2 linked regions of the Xenopus tropicalis genome follow. The protein of the gene in region 2 purifies or fractionates together with the protein of the main gene of each other region. This does not show direct contact. Links are inferred from orthologs where the notes say so. Each region holds a gene or a part of one and is shown on either strand. Other genes may lie near its edges.

Evidence for each region.
Region 1: the proteins of polb (region 2) and lig3 purify together in Homo sapiens (affinity purification with mass spectrometry; 3 studies listed by BioGRID and IntAct, counting the BioPlex papers as one, with this or other methods). This does not show direct contact. The link is inferred for Xenopus tropicalis from reciprocal best matches to the Homo sapiens genes POLB and LIG3.

Annotation. Positions count from the first base shown.
Region 1 is NC_030686.2:27,256,348-27,260,629, forward strand, and holds the start of lig3 (DNA ligase 3), read right to left. Parts: upstream 2,880-4,282; 5' UTR 2,847-2,879; intron 2,532-2,846; 5' UTR 2,525-2,531; coding exon 2,074-2,524; intron 677-2,073; coding exon 542-676; intron 185-541; coding exon 1-184. UniProt on the Homo sapiens protein: Isoform 3 functions as a heterodimer with DNA-repair protein XRCC1 in the nucleus and can correct defective DNA strand-break repair and sister chromatid exchange following treatment with ionizing radiation and alkylating agents.
Region 2 is NC_030679.2:130,632,439-130,636,770, reverse strand, and holds the start of polb (DNA polymerase beta), read left to right. Parts: upstream 1-1,341; 5' UTR 1,342-1,385; coding exon 1,386-1,446; intron 1,447-3,626; coding exon 3,627-3,684; intron 3,685-4,332.

The sequences.
Region 1 (4,282 bases), on a different chromosome or scaffold from region 2:
CCCTTGGTTAGGAAATCACGAATGATCTGTGTTTTGCTGTTGTAGCTTGGCTGTTCCGCAACCATTGCACATAGCTTGCGGAACTCACGCAGAAGACAGTCCTTATGTTTTGGGTCACACTTTGCAGTTGAAAGACTGGAGCCAGTGCTTGAGCTTGGTGGGCTTGATGATTGACTGGGTTTTGCTGTTAAAAAAAGGCACTACAATTAATTCCAAGATGTCCAAGGCAAATGATGAACAAAAACAATACAATATATTACATTAATATTAGTTTGCTGGGAATATCAGATTTAAAAACCACACACAACTTAACCCATTTTATAACCGCAAAAACAAGTTATAAAATAATGATTGCAGAAAGAAAGAAAAGAATACAAAGCATATAAAACAAAGAAAATAATGTTTACATGTATATCTATTTGGTGCTACCAGAAATGTCAGTAACTATTGGCTGGGAGAGGAGTGGTGAGTTAGTTATGATTAATAATGGTGTGATTCCGATTAGTATCACAATTTTACTGTGCTAGAAATAAAGCATTACCAGAGAAACCTGAAAATTTTAGAGAGGGACTAGCTGCTGGTGCTGTAGTGGAAGTTGTTCCTTGTACTGCCGGTGATTGTTTTTCCTTGGACGGAGTCTTTTTTCGAGGTGTAGCTGCTGTTTTTGTAGCAAGTTCTGTAAACAAAGGAAAGTCATATTAGTAGCGTGTGTACTAGCTGTGCAATAACATAAGAACTTATTTGGAACAGTTACTTTTGGAACTCAAAAGCTAGTTTCATCAAGGCCTTAGGTCATGATGTACAAGCCTTCTACCAATCTGAACATAGGATATTACCTATAAGGTTTTCAACAGATGCATTCAGCTCACCTACAACTAAGTGCTTTACCTATGGTTGATCAACACAGGGTTGCTGTAGCATGAACACATGCTTCAGACTCAGCTACTATTGCCAACTTTTGTGCTCCCTGCCCACTGTTCTGCTGATAGGCTGCTGGGAGGGGGGTGATATCACTTCAATTTGCAGCTCAGCAGTAAAGTGGTGACTGAAGTTTATCAGAACACAGGTCAAATGGCTGTGGCACCCTGGAAAATGAAGAATATGGCTAGCCCCATGCTAAATTTCAAAATTAAATATAAAAAAAAAAAAAAAAAAAAATCTGTTTTCGGTTTTGAAAAACAGATTTCAATGCAGGATTCTACCGGAGAAGCTCTATTAACTGATGTGTTTTGGAAAAAAAAGCATGTTTTCCCCATGACAGTATTCCTTTAAAGTACATGTAAAGCCTACTTTTGCCTAGAATGTATATCAGTTGGGCATGTCTCCCCCACTCAAATGGCATCATCTGTACTGCATATATCACCTACATTTGCTAGCACCATCACATTTTCCTAAAGCAAATAGCAACTTTCACCCGGTGGAATTTTTTCCTCTGATACATTTTAATCTGCAAACAGCATACACACATACACACACACAGACCCTTATTCAGAACACATTTCATCAAGAATACGGGCTCACACAGGCACAACTGCCTGATACAAGTTCTGCTTTGTTTGAGCTGAGTTCAGGAGAGTTGGTTGGGAGAACAAAATTGAAGCAGACAGCTAGAGCGGAGTTTCTATGGGAACCAGCAATGCCATCTCTTCACTGGCTGCTAGACTGGAGGGCATGTTTAGTAATCTGAGCTTTTAACAACGGAGCATACCCACAAGCCAGAAGTCAAAGCAAATTTCTGAGGGAGGGGGCCGAGTGGGTTACAGGAGGAGAAGGAAATCTAAGGGGATGCTGCAGCCTTATTATTAACCTCTGGACAACTAGTGTGGCAGGTATTTAAAGATTGAAAGAGGCTGTTCACTGATTAAAATTGTGTGTGTGGGGTTTACATGTCCTTTAAGATATAACGGAACGTGGCTTAGAATTACATCTTTTATTATGGAAAGCAAATTATTTTTGGCTGGACATCTGCTGTAGAGCACTGTTGGACATTTTAGATTTTTATTGCGAACTTAATATAAAATGGTTACAAAATCAATTGTAAGCCAGACAAACAGTATGCAAGTAGAGGTTTACCAGTGACATGCTGGCTGATTAGGTTTTTATCACAGTCTTGAAGTTCCTGCCAACCTTCCAGTTCTGTCAGATCATCAATTTTTTTTGTAGTTGCCCGCGCTCTCTCCAGTTTCTCAAACATGCACTTGATGTGGTACCACTCCTTCATGTCCCCAGCAGACTCGCTAAAAGGGTTTGGCACTATTTTACCTATGCGTACCAAACCCTTTCCAATCTTCTCCTTGCATTTCTTGCAACCAGCAGTCCCACGTTTTGCATATTCCACACAGTATCGCTGTTCCGCCATGTTGGAGAAATGTGTAACTCTTAAAAAGAATTGGAAGTGCAAAGCACTGTGGAGAGGCGACTGGCTCCAACAGGCATGAAAAATAACTCGTAAAGGAACTTTTGTTAAGGACTGGCCAAGTGTCCTTTTGGTCTGATATGCCAGAAGTCTAAGAAATGCCCTCATAGACCACCTAGTTTAAAAGATAAAATATTTTAGAGACAGATTTTAGGCAGCAGTTTGAAAGTGAAATCATTGCAAGGGGCAGTACAGGTATCGGACCCCTTATCCGGAAACCCATTATCCAGAATTACGAAAAGGTCATCTCCCATAGACTCCATTTTAATCAAATAATTCACATTTTTACTTAAGGTAGGAGATCCGAATTAAGGAAAGACCCTTTATCCGGAAAACCCCAGGTCCCGAGCATTCTGGATAACATGTCCCATACCTGTATACCCACTTGTGGAATATAAGTTCAGTTACAAGGACTGGTGAATATACTTGCCTATTGCTCTAATAATGAAAAATCTGTTTTCTTGTTGCTTCTTGACCTAAACAGGAAAGTAAAGGAAATAGACAGTCCATATTACTACACGTGAAGGAATAAGACAGTACATATAACCAATAGCAGCAACATTGACATGTATTCAGCAAATCAACCTGTTACTATAACACAGACAAACAAATTAAAAAGCCCGTTGACATCTGAAAATGGTTTTATTTTCACTAGACCATTAGAGAAACATGGATTGGGAGTTGGATAACAGACAATATATAATAGTAAGAAAATGTACCTTAATTCCACAAAATATCTTGGATCCTTAAAGGAGAAGGAAAGTCATTTTGGCATTTTACTGCCAATAGATTTGCCACATTAGTGCCACCTATAACAATATATTTATTCTGCAGAAAACATTACCATACCTGAGTAAACAGCTTTAGAAGCTTTCTCTGTTTGCTTAAGATAGCAGCTGCCATTTTAAGTAGCTTCCTGCCTGCAGTCTCTAGCAGTTATAGCTCAGATCACACATTCCTAAGGGAGGGGGGGAGGGAGTTCTTAGCATTCTGGTGGGAGGAGGAGCAAGAGAGGGGAGAGAGTTGCGCAGACTCTGGTCAGGGGAATTAAGGATGTTTCTGAGAGAGAAAGTCAGACACTGGAACATCATGCTTACAAAATAAAAAAGAGACAAAAAAATCCTGTGTTTCTTTTGATAGAGGACTCAGTGCAGCATTACTGTGAGTGCTTATGGCTGTATTTATGGTTGGCTTACTTAGTTTTTACCTTTCCTTCTCCTTTAAGTAAACCCTAACCCATTTAGGATCCTGCTAAAAAACCATATAGGATAATAAAGAAAATGTAAACAACTTTCCCATAAATTATCGAATAACTGCAAATCCCCTGAAAACGTATAGAGGAAACTGGCTTAGAATTACATTGCCTCTCATTATGCAAAAACAGTTTTCAGATGGCGATCCCCTATAACGGTGACCCCCAACAAGTGGCTTGGGAGGCGAGTTTGGACGCAGAGAGACCGTTTTACTCAAAATATGGGGCCACCAAATAGCCACGTCACAGCCCTAAAGCTGGCCATACACGTGGCGATCTGACGATGTTTCGTGTGACCATCAGTCGCACGAAACATCGTCAGATCCGCCACACACCATTCAGGGCTGAATTGGCAGGTAAGGAGGTAGAAACAATAGGATTTCTACCTCCTTCTGCCGATTCAGCGCTGAAGGGAGATTTTGGTCAGGCGCCTTATCAAAATTTTCAAACTGGTCTGATCGGCGAGTCGGCCGATATCAGCAGCTTCCTGCGATATCGGTCGCCTCGCCGACTTGCCATACACGCACCGAATATCGTACGAAACGAGGTTTCATACGATATTATCGGTGCGTGTATGGCCAGCTTTATTTAGGATCCTAAAAGAACTTTTTTCC
Region 2 (4,332 bases):
GAATGCTGCATTGTAATCTGTTGATCAACAACACAGATTTTTTTTTTATATTTAATTTTGAAATTTCACATGGGGCTAGCCATATTCTGCATTTCCCAGGGTGCCACAGCCATGTGACCTGTGCTCTGATAAGCTTCAGTCACACTTTACTGCTGAGCTGCAAGTTGGAGTGATATCCCCCCTCCCAGCAGCCGATCAGCAGAACATTGGGAAGGGAGCAAGATAGCAGCTCCCAGTAGGTATCAGAATAGCACTCAATAGTAAGAAATCCAAGTCCGACTTGGGACTCCTCCAGTTGCATGGGAGTAGGAGAAACAATAGGTTAGCTGAAAGCAGTTCTAATGAGTAGCGCTGGCTCCTTCTGAAAGCTCAGACTCAGGCACAATGCACTGAGATGGAGCCTACACACCAATATTACAGCTAAATACATTTGTTGGTTCAAGAATAACATTTTAAATGGTAGCGTGAACTATTTGCTATGTAAACTGTGTAGTTTAGAAATAAAAAGTACAACATAAAAATCATGACAGATCCCCGGTGGCTTCATCAGAGGAGTTGACCTGTGTCGGCAATGCCCACTAGGTTCTCCAGGGGGCACATTTACAAAAGCACGAACGCTCGAGCGTTCATGCGAATGCTCCGAGTGTATTTTCGCCGATTTTTTCGGGCGTCCGCATGACTTTTTCGTACACCGCACAACTTTTTCGTACACCGCACAACTTTTTCGGACTTTTGCACGAAAAAATCGGAAAGGTTTTACCGCTGTTTACAATTGTTCGGTACGAAAATTTCATGACTTTCAGATCGCCAATACGATATTATCGTGACTAATGCGATTTTTTCATAAGCATTTTCGTGATATTTGCGATCTTTTGAAATTTTCGTTTCCAATACGATTTTTTCCCATTCGTGATTCGGATTCGTGGATTAGTAAATGTGCCCCCAGGTGTCCAACCAACCCAGACTGACCCTGTAGCCAACAAGTTTGATCTTTTGCTCTAGCAAATCCTAGCTACCTCTAGTTTATCAATACAGACAAGGGGCGTGGCCAAACCCAATTTGCCCCATGCATTCGTGTTCATTTTGGTCCCCATATATTAACCAAAGTCAGTATTATTTTCTCCACGCAAATTTCAACATTACCAGTAACTGAAATGACAAAATAAAGGAAAGACATCGGCAAGGTGAATAACTGAGTAGCTGTTGCAAAGGGTTTTGTGACAAGACTGTAACAAATTCCCTGATTAAATATGGCGGCATCTACTTGCCAGGCCTTTGCGTCATCAATCCGTGCTGACGTGTCATGCGGTACGTCCGGGCCTGCAGCGAAGCCTCAGCCTGCGGTCTCGATTACCTACCCAAGCTGCTGAGAGAAAGAGGCCGACATGAGCAAAAGGAAAGCCCCGCAAGAGAGCCTCAATGAAGGCATCACCGACTTCCTCGTAGGTAGGAGCGGGTTTGGAACTTTGGGCCCCAGAGAGAGAGAGAGGGCTAGACATATACAGTTACATACAAGCTGCCAATCAACGGGTCCTTTATTCACTGCCACTATGGGATCACTGTGGAGGGGGGGAGTATAGAGAGGAGACCAGCTGCAAAATGTGGGCTAGTTGTACTAAATGCAGCTGCAAAATGTGGGCTAGTTGTACTAAATGCAGCTGCAAGATGTGGGCTAGTTGTACTAAATGCAGCTGCAAAATGTGGGCTAGTTGTACTAAATGCAGCTGCAAAATGTGGGCTAGTTGTACTAAATGCAGCTGCAAAATGTGGGCTAGTTGTACTAAATGCAGCTGCAAGATGTGGGCTAGTTGTACTAAATGCAGCTGCAAAATGTGGGCTAGTTGTACTAAATGCAGCTGCAAGATGTGGGCTAGTTGTACTTAATGCAGCTGCAAGATGTGGGCTAGTTGTACTAAATGCAGCTGCAAGATGTGGGTTAGTTGTACTAAATACAGCTGCAAGATGTGGGCTAGTTGTACTAAATGCAGCTGCAAGATGTGGGCTAGTTGTACTTAATGCAGCTGCAAAGCTGAGGGGATTGCCTTTCATTTAACATGACACCTGAAGCTGGTACCATAAAGGAAAACTAAATACATTTTGACATAATAGAGACCCTGCTCCTCAACCACATCTCCCAGGGTTGGTGATTGCTTGGTTTTGTTGTGTCACATCCAGCCAGAGCTTTCATGGTGATTGCCAGGGCCAGGTTGCGCCCTCAGTGCCCTCGCTGCAGTTCAGCAATCACTACCCCAGAGCCTTTGGCAGAATGTGACATGGCGGCTGCTATCCCTGCTGTGGAAACCTGCATTTGGGCACAGGAATGCTGTTGTATAAAAATGGGTTTAGTTGCCCTTTAAGAAATACATGTTGCGATAACTGTACACCCCCTTAATTCAGTCATCTGTGGAGGCTTACTCCATAACTGGGATGCGTACGTTTGTAAAACTAATGTTGCCTTTAATTGGCGCGATTATAAAATGCGGCTTAATGGGCAAAATGTAATTCTATACATTCTAAATCAATGTATAAACTTGCTTGGAAATACATTTTCACAAGACAACACTTATTTATTTTTAAGTACTTTTTATGCCTCACTTACCATACCCAAAACGTATATACATATATATATTTTATATATTATTTTATATATAAACAAAGATATACATACACATATTTTGCGTCTCTCTAGCATGAAATGTAAAATTCAATCTTGCAGGCTTGTTTAACTTGGCGGTGCAATTGCTAGGGTATGGACACCCTAGAAACCAAACTGCAGTTTACTTAAAATTAATAAACTACAAAGGAAATAAAAAATACCAAGTGGATTGTGTCTCTGATTGTCTAGCTACAAATGGGACTCTAATGACCGTTAAAGGAGACACAGAGGATTACCGGAAAAAACCTCTAATCTTGTAGGCAATTATGAATAATATATGATGCTGGTTTCACGTTGTTCTTAAAATTAATATTATCTGTAAAAATGGCCCCTGTATTGGAGCTCCCTATAGATCCTCCCTGGTTCCGTGTCCATGTTTTAAATGTGGGTTAGCATCTCCTAATGGTCCCTGCCAGAAGCACAGTAGGAGGTGGATAGCCAATCACAGCCCTGCAGTCACACAAGCAAAGACAGGCTTCAGTTCCCTATCAGGTCAGCCTAGCTGCTGATGTATATGTATATATGTACATGAAGGTGTATATATACCTGTTTATCAAATGTCAACATGTCAAGAATGTTTTCTGACTTTTTGTTGCAGTTGTAAATTCCTCAACAATTTCCCTATTTACGAAAGCCCATTGGTTCGCCAGCCTTGAACTGACAATAGGCATTTTCCCTATGAGGCAAAAAGACACTTAAGGTGTTTCCCACACTCTGTGAATTATAATACGCCTTTAGGAAACTCGTCCTCAACAAGAAATATTTTCTTCATGAGAAAATAGTAGCCAGCAGTGGTTAAAAACTCCAAAAAGTATAAAATTGTCGCTGGGGAAAAAATCTGCAAAGGGCAATTGCAATGATTTGGTGACAAATTGTGAAAATGCTCAAAATGTTTTGTCATGTTTGTCATAATCTCTTTGTGCTTGTGATAAAAAGTATCACACAATAATGTCTTGTTTTGCAATTCCAGAGCTGGCTAATTATGAGAGGAATGTCAATAGAGCTATTCACAAATACAATGCTTACAGGTGAGGTGCCTGCTGCCCGCTTTGTGTCTGCTCTTTGCATGTGTATATATATATATATATAATATAATATATATTTGGATGTGTTTATAATTTGCTTTTTTATATTGGTTTAATGTGCAAACTTTAGCTGCAAGTCAAGATATAACCCATCCTCCTATCAGAATCAGTAAGAGCAATGGACTTTGGTGTCAGCATGCTGAATTATCTCCGGAATATGTGGCTCTCACTCTGCATTGTTGGATAATGTCTCATTTGGCCCTCCATACAAATTGGCACATAGTATTGATGAGTATATGTGATGGGCCAAGGCCACTGCAAGACAGCTACTGCCCCTCTTGCTTCCAGCTCTATGTGTATGACAGTGTTCTGCTCTATTCCGTCATTATTATGTTTGTATTATTTCTCAGTATAACAGAATAAGCAAAACACAGTGTTCCCTTTATACAAACATATCTTGATGAGATTCCATTCACTGTGCTGCCTTATTATTGAGCAGAGTTAAGGTGGCCATACACAGGCTGATTCTAGCTGCCAATATCAGTCCCTTAGACAGATTCAGCAGCTTATCGACCCGTGTATGGTCATTAACGACGGGCAGGTTTGATATTTAGTCGGATCGGGGACCGATGCAGTCCCCAAATCGACAAG